Anolis sagrei: one gene and its partner. The protein of the gene in region 1 interacts with the protein of each later gene in a biochemical or structural test. Links are inferred from orthologs where the notes say so. Each region holds a gene or a part of one and is shown on either strand. Other genes may lie near its edges.

Region 1 (7,396 bases):
TGAAAATATCTCCTGACATGAAACAATCAGGGCCAACTAACACCTTCCAACAAAGGATTTTCCCAGGCAAGAAGCAGCCATTCAACACTAATCAAGGTGGCCCATTGCAACATTCACACTTGCCTCAAGCAGACAAGAGTTCTTTCTCCCACCCTGGACATGCCACAGATATATAAACCTTAGTTGCCTGGTTTCCAACAGACCTCCCAACCTCTGAGAATGCCTGCCATAGATGTGGGCAAAATGTCAGGAGAGATTTCTTCTGAAACAAGGCCATGCAGCCTGGAAAACTCACAGAAACCCATTTCTATTCCCAGTTTTTGACAAATGGTGTTAGCATTTTGCAGAAGTTACAATCTGCTGGCTGCATGTGGGGTGGAGAAGGGATGGTAATTCAGTCACAGCATATTCAATGGCACTTACATCCAAGTAAGTATCACACTTGCTCCCCCTAAATATACACAAATTGATTTACTTTTTGAACCTAGAGATTCCTAGAGAGAACAATTTCAATGAAATCTGTGAATAATCATCAAATTCACAGATATGAAACCCACAAATGTGAAGAGACAACTATAACACTATGTAACAAAATTTAGAAAAACATCTGTTCCTGGTTTGAAAGTGCCACACATGTATGCACATACATCCACATATATACACATACATAAACATATACATACATATGTACCCAGGCATGTAGCCGGGGGGGGGGGCTTGAGGGGCTTCAGCTCCTCCCCCCCCCCCCCCAATTCTCATGGTGGTTCGCGAAAAGGCCTTACTGGTGCATTATTTAAACTGTTATGTTTATTCATATCATGATCTGATCACCATGCTCAATATATCCCATATGCATGGGGGTATTGGGGTAATAATACAAAAGGTTTGCTAGGCTAGACCCTCTTTCACTCAGACTCAGCCCCCCCCCCGAAACTCAGCCCCCCCCGAACCCCCCCCTGAAAAAAATTCAGCCCCCCCCCCCCTGAAACGAAATCCTGGCTATGGGCCTGTATGTACCCATACATATATATACACATATATGCAAAAATGTATACACAACATGATCACATGGTCTTCAGTTCCTCCCACAACCACAATCAACATAGTTAAACAGCACACATATACAGATGGACACATGCACACACACATGTACATACATATAGGGCACACATATACACAAAAACATGCACATACATACATAAATATACATACATATATGCCCATACATATATACACATATATGAAAAACGTATACACAGCATGATCACATGGTCTTCAATCCCTACCACAACTTCAATCAACATACACGTATACAGATGAACACATGGACACACACATGTACATACATAGAGGGCGCATGTAGGTACAAACATATACACATACATTCACACATATACATACATATATACCCATACATAGGTAAAAGGTAAAGGCTGTCTCCTGACATTAAGTCCAGTCGTGTCCAACTCTGGGGGTTGGTGCTCATCTCCAGGCCTGTAGCGAGGGGGGGGGTTAGGGGTTCAACCCCCCCCCCCCCCAAATGTTTCAGATTTTTTAAAAAACCTGGTTTACTCATGAATTTTAACTGGTTAACCAAATCCCCATGCTAAGTCTATGAGATGCAAAAAATTAAGAGTCCTTCCAGAACTGCAAGCACTATCTCTTACTTACTTACTTAGGCGATCCCTCGTTGGACGAGTAAGATGGTCTTCCATTATGGATTTCCTTGTGGGTCCGTATGTGGCTGTGGAGCCCTATTCTTGCTCTGCATCTTCTTCCGCAGTGAGGGCATTGGTTTCCAGGTGGAAGGCGTTCCCGGTCGGGGTTGGCTTGACGCGCCTTCCTCCTGGCACGTTTCTCTCTTTCACCCTCCACTCGTGCCTCCTCGAATTCTGCAGCACTGCTGGTCACAGCTGTCCTCCAGCTGGAGCGCTCAAGGGCCAGGGCTTCCCAGTTCTCAGTGTCTATGCCAGAGTTTTTAAGGTTGGCTTTCAGCCCATCTTTAAATCTCTTTTCCTGTCCACCAACGTTCCGTTTTCCGTTCTTAAAGCACTATCTCAGGCAAATATTGACAATTTATTCACACTGTCATTACTTGCAGCAATAGCCGATGTAGCGAAGCAACCAAGTTGGGTGTGTGTGTGTTGAATGCTCTCATTAAGGAGGCCAGACTTGGTGGAGGTGGTTGACAGGGGCGGAGGGGCAGGCTATTGAAGGCTGCTCTGCCCCCTGCTGTGCTCTTTGCTTCAGCGTGAGCTAGGAGGCAGGTTTCACCCCCCCCCCCCGAAAATTTCAACCCCTCCCGAAAAAATTTTCTGGCTACGGCCCTGCTCATCTCCATTTCTAAGCCAAAGAGCCAGTGTTGTCCATAGACACCTCCAAGGTCATGTGGCCAGCATGACTGCATGGAGCACCATTACCTACCCATACATATATACACATAATGCAAAAATGTATACACAACATGATGACATGGTCTTCAGTCCCTGGGCAGAGTTGCATACTTACACACATCTGTGGACACTTATGTGCACATATATTGATACACATATACATGCATATACATATACATGCAAACATACTCACAAATACATACACACATCCTTCTATATCGATATACCCAGCGATGTGTGTGTGGGGGGGGCGCGCCTATATACACTCCCTTGTGCACACCCATAATAATAAGTAAGTGCAGGCACACACTGGGAGCAGAAGGGAGAGAGGAGGGAGAGGGAGATGCTGACCATCGGAGAGCCAGTCCTTCATGTAGCAGAGGATGTAGACGGGGTTGAGGGTCTTCTGGATGTAATGCCCGAAGCGGAGCAAGTTCTCCTTCTCCTCGGCACTCATGGCGAAGGCGAGGCTCTCTTCCCTGCCTCCCAAGCACTCTTATAGAGGAAGCAAGGCAGGGGGCCCCCAGGCTGGGGGCAAGGGTCCCGGGGCGCAGCCTCCTCCTCCTCCTCCTCCTCCTCCGCCGGCTTCCCTTTCCCTCTCCAGAAGCCGACCGGCTGGGAAGAGAGGCGGAGCCCGGGCTGGAAACGAAACCCAAGGCAGAGAAACCGAAAGCAGGCGGAGAGTCGAGGAGGAAAAGGTTTGGCAGCACTTCAACTGCTAGATCTATCTCCAGGCCGGGGAATCCCGGGAGTTGCACTTTGGGGAGCCCTCTGGACCAAGCGAAAGCCTGTGCAAAACTTGGGTGCCCACGGACTCAGAGTAGCCAGCTATGCAATTCAAGCAGAATCAAGTTGCATTCATTCTACAGCAGCGTTTCTCAACCGAGGGGTCGCAAGGAGAGTGTCAGGGGGATCGCCAAAGACCATCAGAAAAAAACGTTTTTTTCTGTTGGTCATAGGGATTCGGTGTGGGAAGTTTGGCCCAATTCGATCGTAGGTGGAGTTCAGAATACTCTTTGTCGGTAGGTGAACCAGACAAACTACAACTCCCAAATGTCAAGGTCTATTTTCCCCAAACTCCACCAGTGTTGGCTTTTCGGCATATTGAGTATTTCTGCCAAGTTTGGTCCAGATCCAGGCATGTAGCGGGGGGGAGGGGGGGGAGCTTGAGGGGCTTAAACCCCCCCCCCCCGAAATTCTCATGGCGGTTCGCGAAAAGGCCTTACTGGTGCATTATTTAAACTGTTACGTTATTCATATCATGATCTGATCACCATACTCAATATATCCCATATGCATGGGGGTACTGGGGCAATGATACAAAAGGTTTGCTAGGGTAGACCCACTTTCACTCAGACTCAGCCCCCCCCCCCGAAACTCAGCCCCCCCGAACCCCCCCTGAAAAAAACTCAGCCCCCCCCCCCCCCCCCCCCCCGAATCGAAATCCTGGCTACGGGCCTGTCCAGATCCATCATTGTTTCATTCCACAGTGCTCTCTGGATGTAGGTGAACTACAACTCCAAAAGCTCAAGGTCAATGCCCACCAAAACCCTTCCAGTATTTTCTGTTGGCCATGACAGTTCTGTGTCCCAAGTTTGTTTCAACTCCATCGTTGGCGGACTTCAGAATGCTCTTTGATTGTAGGTGAACTATCAATCCCAGCAACTACAACTCCCAAATGTCAAGGTCTGTTTTCCCCAAACTCCACTTGTGTTTACATTTGGGCATATTGCGTATCCGTGTGTGTGTGTGTGTGTGTGTGTGTATGTATGTGCGTGTATATATATATATATATATATATATGGCATGGGCCAACTTCGGCCCTCCATGTGTTTTGGACAAAATTTGTCCATGCCCATATCCATTTATATATATATATAATCAGTGTTTGGTTTGGGGAGGGGGCACCAAAATACTGTTTGCTTACCATTGAAAATTACCTACGGCCACCTCTGTATCCCTGCCAAGTTTGGTCCAGATCCATCATTGTTTGTGTCTACAGTGCTCTCTGGATGTAGCTGAACTACAACTCCCAAACTCAAGGTCAATACCCACTAGGCCCTTCCAGTATTTTCTGTTGGTCATGGGAGTTCTCTGTGGGAAGTTTGGCCCAATTCTATCATTGGTAGGGTTCAGAATGCTCTTGGACGGTAGGTGAACCATAAATCCCAGCAACTACAACTCCCAAATGTCAGGGGGCCTCATCACACTACAGTATAAATCCACCTTAAATCTGGTTGTTGCTTTCTGCAGAATTCTGGGGTTTGTAGTTTAGGGAGGAGCCTTTGACAGCCTCACTAAACTACAAACCCCAGAATTCTGCAGGAGGCAGAAGCCGGATTTAATGTGGATTCATTCTCTAGTGTGATGAATTGGTAGGTCTGTTTTTCCCCAAACCTCCACCAGTGTTCACTTTTTGGCATATTAAGTATTCGTGCCAAGTTGGTCCAGATCCATCATTGTTTGAGTCCACAGTGCTCTCTGGATGTAGGTGAACTACAACTCCAAAACTCAAGGTCAATGCCCACCAAACCCTTCCAGTATTTTCTCTTAGTCATGGGAGTTCTGTGTGCCAAGTTTGGTTCAATTCCATTGTTGGTGGAATTCAGAATGCTCTTTGATTGTAGGTGAACTCTAAATCCCAGTAACTACAACTCCCAAATGACAAATCAGTTCCTCCCCCCAACTCCACCAGTATTCAAATTTGGACATATTGGGTATTTGGACCAAATTTGGTCCAGTGAATGAAAATGCATCCGGCATATCAGTTCCTGGGATATAGGGCCTGTTTGGAAGGGCTCTCAGGCACCTTCCACACAGCTGTATAAAATCCACATTGAACTGAATTATATGGCAATGAGGACACCTTCTACATTGCCTCTGGCCCCTTCTACCCTGCCATATAATCCAGATCATCAAAGCATATAATCCACATTATCTGCTTTAAACTGGATTATATGGGGCCTCTTCTACACTACCAGATAAAATCCGGATTATCTGCTATGAACTGGATTATATGGCAGTATTCCAACAATGGTTAAAAACCATAAAAACATATTTAGAACTAAAAACCACAGCGTCCCCTGTGAATAGGACACAGCGTACTCACTCCCAAGGATATGTGTCCAATGTTACAGCCATGTTAAAGTTAATGACTGAGTTGTGTTTGCACACATAGTGCAGAAGGGTGTTTTCTTTCCTTCTGGATTATTGACTGGAGATGCAAGGAGTTTCCTTCTCCTTTTACTGTGCTTGGGCTTGAAGAAATAGAAACTAAGGACACTTTCATTTATCCAAGAGGAAAGTAATTACATAACATTCTCTGGATGCTTGCCACACATATAAATAGATCAGGATTGTAATTCAAACCAGAACTAAGGGGGGGGGAATCATTTTTAGGAGGATTGGGTACACTAAGCAGGAATTTTAAACGGAGGGCCCTTCCACACAGCCATATAACCCAGAATATCAAGGCTGAAAATCCCAACATATCTGCTTTGAACTGGGTTATCTGAGTCACCACTGCCATATATCCCAGTTCAAAGCAGATAATGTAGGATCTTATAGAGTGGATTGGAAAGGACCTCAAACTGGATTAAATTAGGGCACGCCTTCCATACTCTCCCTTTCTAAACTGGGAGGGGTGCATGTAGTAGTTTATTTCCCCACTATTGAGTCGTTACCTTGTTTTTTCCTTCAGTTTATGGCAGCACTATGACTATGAGTGTGTCTACACTGTAGAATGAACACCACTTTATCTGCCATGGCTCAATGCTATGGAATCCTAGGAGTTGTAATTTGGTCAAGCACCAACACTCTTTGACAGAAGAGGCTGAAGACCTTATAAAATGATAACTTCTCTTATTCCACAGCATTGAGACATGGCTGTTAAAATGGTGTTGATGTGCATTCGTTCTACAGTGTAGACATAGGGCCACCATAAGCAGACTTCATTCACCATCTTTTGTAATGGTGTAATGGCCATGAGACACTCGCAGAAGTCACATGGAATCATGTTGGGAAAGTAGGGACTCAGACGAAGCACAGGTGTGCTGTGTTTGCCCAGGAAACTCTATATCAAATTTGAAGAATGGGAAGGTGCATTTTTATGATGGAGCTGCCAATTGCCCGCTGCCTACAGGTCCTGTCATTTGCGTCTCACAGGTTTACAAAGCCAACATAGAACCACTTGGTAGTACTCCTTGTTGATGGTAGTACCATGTGTTACATACTTGTGATGAACCACAACACTGGAGTCAAAGTAGACCGTCAGCATGACTTTTTTTTGGACTTGCCTTTTTCTTTTTGGCTTTGAGGATGTTGGATGCATCCATTGTGATGACTGCAATTTGGTTTCTGGCTCATACCCCTAAACCCAGGACTCATCGCCAGTGATCAGTGTTTATTTCTATTTTATTTTAATTTATGGTTTTTATATTCCGCCCTTCTCACCCCAAAGGGGACTCAGAGTGGTTCACAGAACACATATACAGCAAATATTCAGTGCCGATTATACAATGACAAAACGGACAATAGATAGAGGAGTGTGTGTATGTATATACGCACATGCTTTCCCATCTTTTGGCATCTTTGGAGGCTGTGCTCATTTCCGGCCACAAGGGAGTGCTGTCACTCCATCTCCTTGTTGAAGAGCGTTTCTTTGTTTATAAACTTCCTCTTTTTTCTGATCGAAACACCATGCCTATTGTGACTGAGCTGGAACCACAGAGTGCCTCTGATGGTCAGCTGGAATCACAGAGTATCTCTGATGAGGATGATGGGATTCAAGTTCACAATCTGGTCCAAAATGCCCCTGTTATAGACAATGAGGAACAGGGGATGCAAGTTCAGTTTCCCACAGCAAGAAATGAGATTGTTGATACCGAAACTAGCCAGGTGCAGGTGCAAATTGATTCAGAAAAGGAGGACATTTCTCAGCCTGATAATAAGCAGGAAGGCAAACAGGATAACACTAACGAACAGACTGACCTTGACGAAATGGG
Region 2 (7,696 bases), on another chromosome or scaffold:
CTTACCTGCCTCTCCTCGTGGTTCTAGGTGGGTTACGGCATAGTTAAGCATTGTAAAGGTTCTATAAATACACATATCAAAATGTATGTCTATAAAAGATGCATATCAAAACATATTTGTATAAAATGCATATTAAAATACAGAGAACAGATTAAAGCATTTTTCTCTTTTGGTACAGTATCACACTGCAGGCTCACGTTCAACTTATGATCAACAACAATTCCATAGTAGAGTTTCACCAACAAACAACCCCTTGATGTAGCCATGGCAATCAGTGCCATATTAGTGCTATAATTGCGAAAGTACTACAAAAAATACTGCAAACATCAGTTCATGCTACTGGTTGACTGCTCTGTAGAGTGCAGATTTCTACAGGAAGCACTTGCTTGCTCTTACTATGAAGTATTTCCAAGTTATTATTTTCCTACTTTGTCTTTATGCATAATTCATTTTGGACAGGAGGGCTTATGTCAAAGCCAGTCTATCACACTAGAACATAAAGAATAGGCAAAGAGTATAGCATCACACTGAAATCCTGTGGCTGCCTCCTGCAGAATTCTGGGTATAATTCAGCTGTACACCTAATATTAGAAAAGACCATGTTTCCATTCAGGTGTTATGGCTGAACAAGTGTAGGAAGCAAAGTGGCCTTGCTCCCAATATGCTATGATAGCCTTCATTCCCTAAACCCTCAGCAATCCCATGCTTACTGAGGTCATCAGGGGCCTTTCTACATCCAGGAATTCTTGTAAATTACGTAGCGTTACTGGCACATTAACATTTTTATTTGTCTTCAATAAACATTAGTCCTTTGAGGACTTTGTGTTCAAACAAATATAAATCCTTGGTTGACATCCCACACAACATTTGGAAGGCCTTGGGGGGAAGAGTTTGTTTAGGAAACTCCATCCCTCTTGTGCTGGCGTACCCTAAACTGGCAACCTGAACAGAGTTGTGCTTCCACCTGTGTGACTCATACAAACAGTTCCCTGAAACCCACTGAAACATCAGGCTCACAGCTTGGATGCACTACTAGACTTGAGCCCTGATGTCCAGGGTTTCATTTTTAAGACTAGCACATCAGTTGCATCTGTTCCAGGAAAAGTCAGTTTTGATTATATATCTTTTAGTTTACTATAACACAGCTTCACTGGCCACTGGCTTGTTTCCAGGCACATTTTAAACAGCTGGTTATAAAGACTTAAATGGTATCTGATAAATTTTTCCTTCCTTCTACAAATCTTCAATCCATCGCAGACCTGTCTGGTAAGGACACAGGAGGAGAGTGGGTGGGGGCTCTCACACTGTGCAATTTCCCCTCCATAGGAAATTAGACTGGCCAACCACTTTACTCTTCTTTCACTGGCAGGCATATAATGCATCAACACTGTAGAATGAATGCATCTTGAGACCCATGGCTCAGTGCTATGAAATAATGGGAACTGTAGCTTTATAATTTTAGTCTTCTCTGCCAAAACGTGCAAGTGACTCACCAAACTATAACTCACAGGATTCTATAGCATTGAGCCATGTCTTATAAAGTGGTGTCAAGCTGCATTCATTCTATAATGTAGATGCTCCCAAATACTTTTATATCCATGGAGAGTATGGAGAGTGTTGTATTTTATTATATTGTGGGAGATGTGCTTTGATTTTTTTTCTCCTCAGGATTTTAGATTTACCTTTTTAAATCTTTTTGTAAGCCAACTATGAAACACAGTTGCTGTGCATCTTCATGATGTTTTCACCTTATGGTGAACCTAAGGTGACCCTTTCTCGGAGTTTTCTTGGCAAGATTTACTCAGAAGGGGGGATTGTCTTTGTCTTCATCTGAGGCTAAGGGAATGTAACTTCCTCAGAGGCAGAATTCCATAGGAGTGAATTTCCCTCCCTAGGGATAGATCTCTCTCCCTTCCTATTGTCTCTCTTTGCTCTTTAGTGAGTGGTGAAAACTTTAGCTTTCAAACTATTTTAAAACTTCATAGAAGTCCAGCCACCTTTTGTACTAGTGCAGGTAGCCCCCGAGTTACAAACATCCAAGTTAAATTATTCATAGTTAAGAATAGCGGTGAGACAACAACACCTAGGAAGGGAAATTCACTCCTAAAAGAGTTATCCTGGGAGGGGGGAGGTGTCCCCGCTGAAACTTTAGCACCAATCCGTTTCCACAAGCCATTTTTTTTAAAATCCAATTCTCACAGGGACAAAAAGTGAGGTGAAATCTTCTGAACAGGGGCGCAGACAGCAAAACAGACACCTCAGGGGTGTTAACCCTTCCCTATGATATCCAAAGCTTGTGTGTGTCAGAACAGATAATATTTTAAGTGTAACTCCATCCATATATATTGAATGATTTAAAAATTACTTGTTCCAATTTACATACAAATCCAATTTAAACAAACCTTCAGAACCTATCTTGATCGTATCTTATAGCAACCCTTTTCTGTCATCAGCAGCCTTGGTCTGGTTTTGCAGATTCAGGGCCTTGGGTTCATTGATTGAATCAATCCATCTGGAATGTGGTATTTTTCTTTTCATACTGCATTTCCCCCTGGCTTTGCTTCTTTTAAAGAAGGATTTTTGCCTTCCACTTTCCCAAGCCTAATTGTCTTCTGAAATGAATCATCTAGTGAAGCACGGTTTAGTCATCTTGGCTTCTAAAGTGAATTCTGACCTATTTATTTGTCTTTTTAGCAATCCATGGAATCCTCATAACTCTTTTCAAGCATCATTATCTCAAATGAGTTATTTTCTTCCTATCAACTTTCTTCGTTATTCAGCTTTCACAACCATATGTAGAAATATGACAACATGAGCCACTTTAATTTAGTATTCAATGACAGATCTTTTCACTTCGAGATCCTGTCTGGTTCCTTCCAGGTCTTTAGGTGCCTCTAGTCTGTGGAATGAATGCTATAATTAACTGCCCTAGTTCCAGGCCATGGAGTTGTAATTTTTCGAGGTCTTTAGCTCCTCTGTAAAAAAAAAAAAAAAAAAAAGTGCTGGTATTTCACCAAACTTCAAATCCCAGGAATTGGGTCAACTGTGTTGGCAGTTGACCCAACCCAACTGCCATGGGTCAATGGAATCCATAACATTGACCCATGGCGGTTGTATTGTCAAAGAACATAATTTCTACAGTGTACTGTAGCTGCTCCCTTAATGTTCTTCTGGTTTCTTCACTATGGCCTCCACTTTGATTAATGTGTGAGCTAAGGAAACATTTAAGTGAATTCATTTTAAAAATTTATTTATTACTTCATGTATAAATCGTTTTTCTCACCCTTGGAGGGACTCAAAGTGGTTTCCAACATATTCACGGCAAAATTCAATGCCTTACAAAACATGAAAACCTGACATAAAACAACAGTAACATAAAACTATAAATTAAATCATAAAACGTTACTACATTTAAACATTAAAACGAGGAATTAAAAATATATTAATATAAACATTAAAATCACATGATCCAAAAGCATGGTCCCGGCCGTTCCAGTATCAAATAACAATTGCACATAATCTGTGTTCGTTTCTTGTCCTGCTTACTGCCCAAATGCTTGGTTCCACAGCCATGTTTTTGCTTTTTTTTTCCCCCTGAAGGACAAGAGCGAGGGTGATCTACATTAAAGTGATCTAAATCATCACAAAACGTTACAAAAACAAAATAGTTTCTCTCCCCCCCCCCCCCAAAATGCCATGTATGTTTACTCAGAAGTTAGCTCCACATTGAACAGTACAACTTAGAATGCCCTGACACTGCAGAAACAGTGCACTTTTGGTGTTATGGAATCCTGGGAGTTGCGATTTTACAAGTTCTGTAGCTTTTTGTCAGGTGGTACAAGTGTTTAACCAAAGTACAAATCCCAGGCTTTGATGCCATTGAGCCAAGGAAGTTTAAAAGGGCAATGCTATAGAATTGCATGAGCCCCTGGTGATGCAGCAGATTAAACCACTGAGCTGCTGAACTTGCTGACCAAAAGGTTGCCAGTTCAAATCTGGGGAGCAGGGTGAGCTCCCACTGTTAGGCCCAGCTTCTGCCAACCTAGCAGTTTGAAAACATGCAAATGTGAGTTGGCAGGAAGGTAATTGCGCTCCATGCCGGCCACATAACCTTGGAGGTGTCTAAGGACAACGCCGGCTCTTCAGCTTAGAAATGGAGATTAGCACCAGCCCCCAGAGTCGCACACAACTAGACTTAATTCAATGGGAAACCTTTATCTTTACCTTTGGAATCACAAAAGGCCAAAGACCTTGTGAAACTACCACTTCTGGAACTTCCATGCTCTGAGCCGTGGGAGTTAAAAGTGGTGTTAAACTGCATTCATTCTACAGTGTAGAATACATGGCTAATAACTACTGCACACAAAACACACACTGCTGGTCTATCTGGAGACCAACCCCTTTGGCAACCAAGAAGCCCCCCCCCTGTGGGCGGGGCATTAGCTGGCACCGCCCCCTTTTAATGGGCGGCAGCGGTCATTGGTTGGCCGGGGACCAATGGCAGGCTCCTGCGGGGATTCGACCCTGTGGCCCCGCCCCGAGCGCCGAGGGGGTCTCCAGCGCAGCCCAGAAAGAGAGGCAGAGAGAACTAAAGAGGCTCCCTCTCGCTAAGTTCCTGCGGGCTCCCAAGTATCGCGAGGTCTCCCCGGAGAGAAAGAAAGGGAGGATTCAGACGATGGGCTCCGCGTTGAGCAGCGACGGGAGGGAAGCCACTACTTCGTCGGACTCCGGAGGCCTCCCAGCCGGGATCCCGCCGCTCCCCCTGCAGTTGGGGCGAGCGGGAGAAGAAAAAGCCCAACAACAACAACAGATCCCTTCTTTCGACTGCTCCATCTGCTTGGAAGTGCTCAACCAGCCCGTCAGGACGCAGTGCGGACACGTGTAAGTGCCACAGTTTCCCTTCACTCATCCTTGGGTTGCATCCACACCGTGGAATTAATGCGCTTTGATACCGCTTTCATTGCCATGGCGTGGGTTCTTTGTTGTGGTTGCTTGTACTAACTCCTCGGAAGTTCCATTGTGGGAATCGACTTTGGGCGCATCTACATTGCAGACTTAATGCAGTTTGATACTACTTTAATGCAGTTACTTAATGGAAAGTCTACATCCTGAGATGCATGAAAGCCTGTGCTACCAATCTCTCTCTTTCTCTCTCTTTCTCTCTCTTTCTCTCTCTCTACTGGATGCATCTATACTGTAGATTTGATGCAGTTTGACACCACTTGAATTCAATTGCTTAATGGAAAGTCTACTTCCTGAGATGCATGAGCTTGTGCTATCTGTGTGTGTGTGTGTGTGTGTGTTTGTGTGTGTGTGTGTGTGTGTGTGTGTGTACTGGGTGCATCTATACTGTAGATTTAATTCAGTTTGACACCATTTTAATGCAATTGCTTAAAGGAAAGTCTACTTCCTGAGATGCATGAAAGCCTGTGCTACCTCCCTCTTCCCCCCCCCCCCCATATATAAACACACACACACACACTGGGTGCATCTATACTGTAGATTTGATGCAGTTTGACACCACTTGAATGCAATTGCTTAGTGAAAAGTCTACTTCCTGAGATGCATGAAAGCCTATGCTACCAATCCCTCTCTCTCCTGGGTGCATCTATACTGTAGATTTAATGTAGCTTGACACCACTTTAATGCAATTGCTTAAAGGAAAGTCTACTTCCTGAGATGCATGAAAGTCTTTGCTACCAATCTCAATCTCTCTCTCTCTCCTCTCTCTCTATACCAGGTGCATCTATACTGTAGATTTGGTGTAGTTTGACACTACTTCAATGCAATTGCTTAAATGAAAGCCTATTTCCTGAGATGCACAAAAGCCTTAGCTACCAATCTCTCTCTCTCTCTCTGTACTGGGTGCATCTATCCTGTAGATTTGATGCAGTTTGACACCACTTTAATTGCTTAAAGGAAAGTCTACTTCCTCAGATGCATGAAAGCCTTCACTATCCACCCCCCCCCTCTACTGGGTGCATCTATACTGTTGATTTGATGCAGTTTGATACCACTTTAATGCAGTTTCTTAAAGGAAAGACCACTTCCTGAGATGCATAAAAGCCTGTGCTACCAATCTCTTTCTGTGTCTCTGTCTGTCTGTCTCTGTCTATCTATCTATCTATCTATCTATCTATCTATATATACGGGGTCATCTATACTGTAGATTTAATGCAGTTTGAGACCACTTTAATTGCCATGGCTCAGTACTATGATTTTTGGGATTTGTAGCGAGGAGGCTACAGGCTTTGTAAAGCCACAACTTCCATTGTTGCGTAGTTTGAGCCATGGCAGTTAAAGTGGTGTGAAACTGCATTAATCCTACAGTGTAGATCAGGGGTCCTCAAACTTTTTAAACAGAGGGCCAGGTCACAGTCCTTCAACCTGTTGGAGGGCCGGATTATAATTTGAAAAAAACATGGATTCCTATGCACATTGCACATATCTTATTTGTAGTGCAAAAATACTTTAAAATGAGATAGGGTTGTTGTTGTTGTTGTTGTTGTTGTTGTTGTTGTTGTTGTTGTTGTTGTGTGCTTTCAAGTAGTTTCAGACTTAGGTTGACCCTGAGCAAGGGCCGGGTAAATGCCCTTGGAGGGCCGCATCCGGCCCCCGGGCCTTAGTTTGAGGACCCCTGGTGTAGATGCAGCATTAAGACCTCATCACACTAGAGAATGAATTAACTTTAAATCCAATCTCTACCTTTTGCAGAATTCTAGGGTTTGTAGTTTAGGGAGAAGCCTTTAACAGGATCACTAAACTTAAATCCGGTTTCTGCCTCCTGCAGAATTCTGGGGTTTGTAGTTTAGGGAGGCTTTTAAAGGCTCCTCCCTAAACTACAGACCCCAGAATTCTGCAGGAGGCAGAATGTGGATTCATTCTCTAGTTTGATGAAGTCACATTGTTCACAGTGAAACTGACTTCCCGAGTAAACAAGCACAGGAGTGAATTAAAAAACAGGGTTTGAAAAACAAAGGAGCCATGTTTTCCTTTTCTTTCTTTTTTCATGTTTAAGCTGGCTAAGGAGACGTTTTGTTTTGGCTTTGCTGGCTTGCTTGTTGGAAGGATTGGTGTTAAAGAAGAACATAGTTTGTGTTGCAATGCTTTATTGTCCGACAGCCTAGGAAAAAGTTGGAGAGGTTCCTTCGAAAACTAATTAAAAGTACTTCTATAGGGGTGGATCTACACCAGGCATGGGCAAACTTGGGCCCCCGCAGGTGTTTTGGACTCCAACTCCCACAATTCCTAAGCGGCTGAGGGGGGAAAGGAAGGGGCCTGAGACTGTTAGGAATTGTGGGAGTTGGAGTCCAAAACACCTGCGGGGGCCCAAGTTTGCCCATGCCTGCTCTACACTACAATTAATGCAGTTTTAAACCCTGGGTCAGCCCTCTTTGGCAGGGAAGGCCAAAAACCTTGCAAAAATTAAAAGTCCTATGATTCCTTGGCATTGATCCATAGCAATAAAAGAGGTGCCAAATTGCATTAATTCTACAATGTAGATTTACCTCTAGTTAATATGCCATAACATCTACTTTGATTTTTTAAAAAGTCACTATAAATACACTTTAAATAATTTATCTGTATCTGGATGTATGATTCATATGTATGGTGAATAGATGCATTCAAATGGCCATTACAATAAAAGCTGGATCATAATTATTTTAAGGAGCTGTTTTCAAGCATTGCACCAAAA

Evidence for each region.
Region 2: of the proteins of RIGI (region 1) and RNF125, one has a biochemical effect on the other in vitro, tested with the Homo sapiens proteins (3 studies listed by BioGRID and IntAct, with this or other methods). The link is inferred for Anolis sagrei from reciprocal best matches to the Homo sapiens genes RIGI and RNF125.

What each region holds. Positions count from the first base shown.
Region 1 is NC_090022.1:205,270,226-205,277,621, forward strand, and holds the start of RIGI (antiviral innate immune response receptor RIG-I), read right to left. Parts: upstream 3,001-7,396; 5' UTR 2,851-3,000; coding exon 2,745-2,850; exon of another isoform or gene 2,704-2,744; intron 1-2,703.
Region 2 is NC_090024.1:55,235,869-55,243,564, reverse strand, and holds the start of RNF125 (E3 ubiquitin-protein ligase RNF125), read left to right. Parts: upstream 1-4,523; 5' UTR 4,524-4,675; coding exon 4,676-4,881; intron 4,882-7,696. UniProt on the Homo sapiens protein: E3 ubiquitin-protein ligase that mediates ubiquitination and subsequent proteasomal degradation of target proteins, such as RIGI, MAVS/IPS1, IFIH1/MDA5, JAK1 and p53/TP53.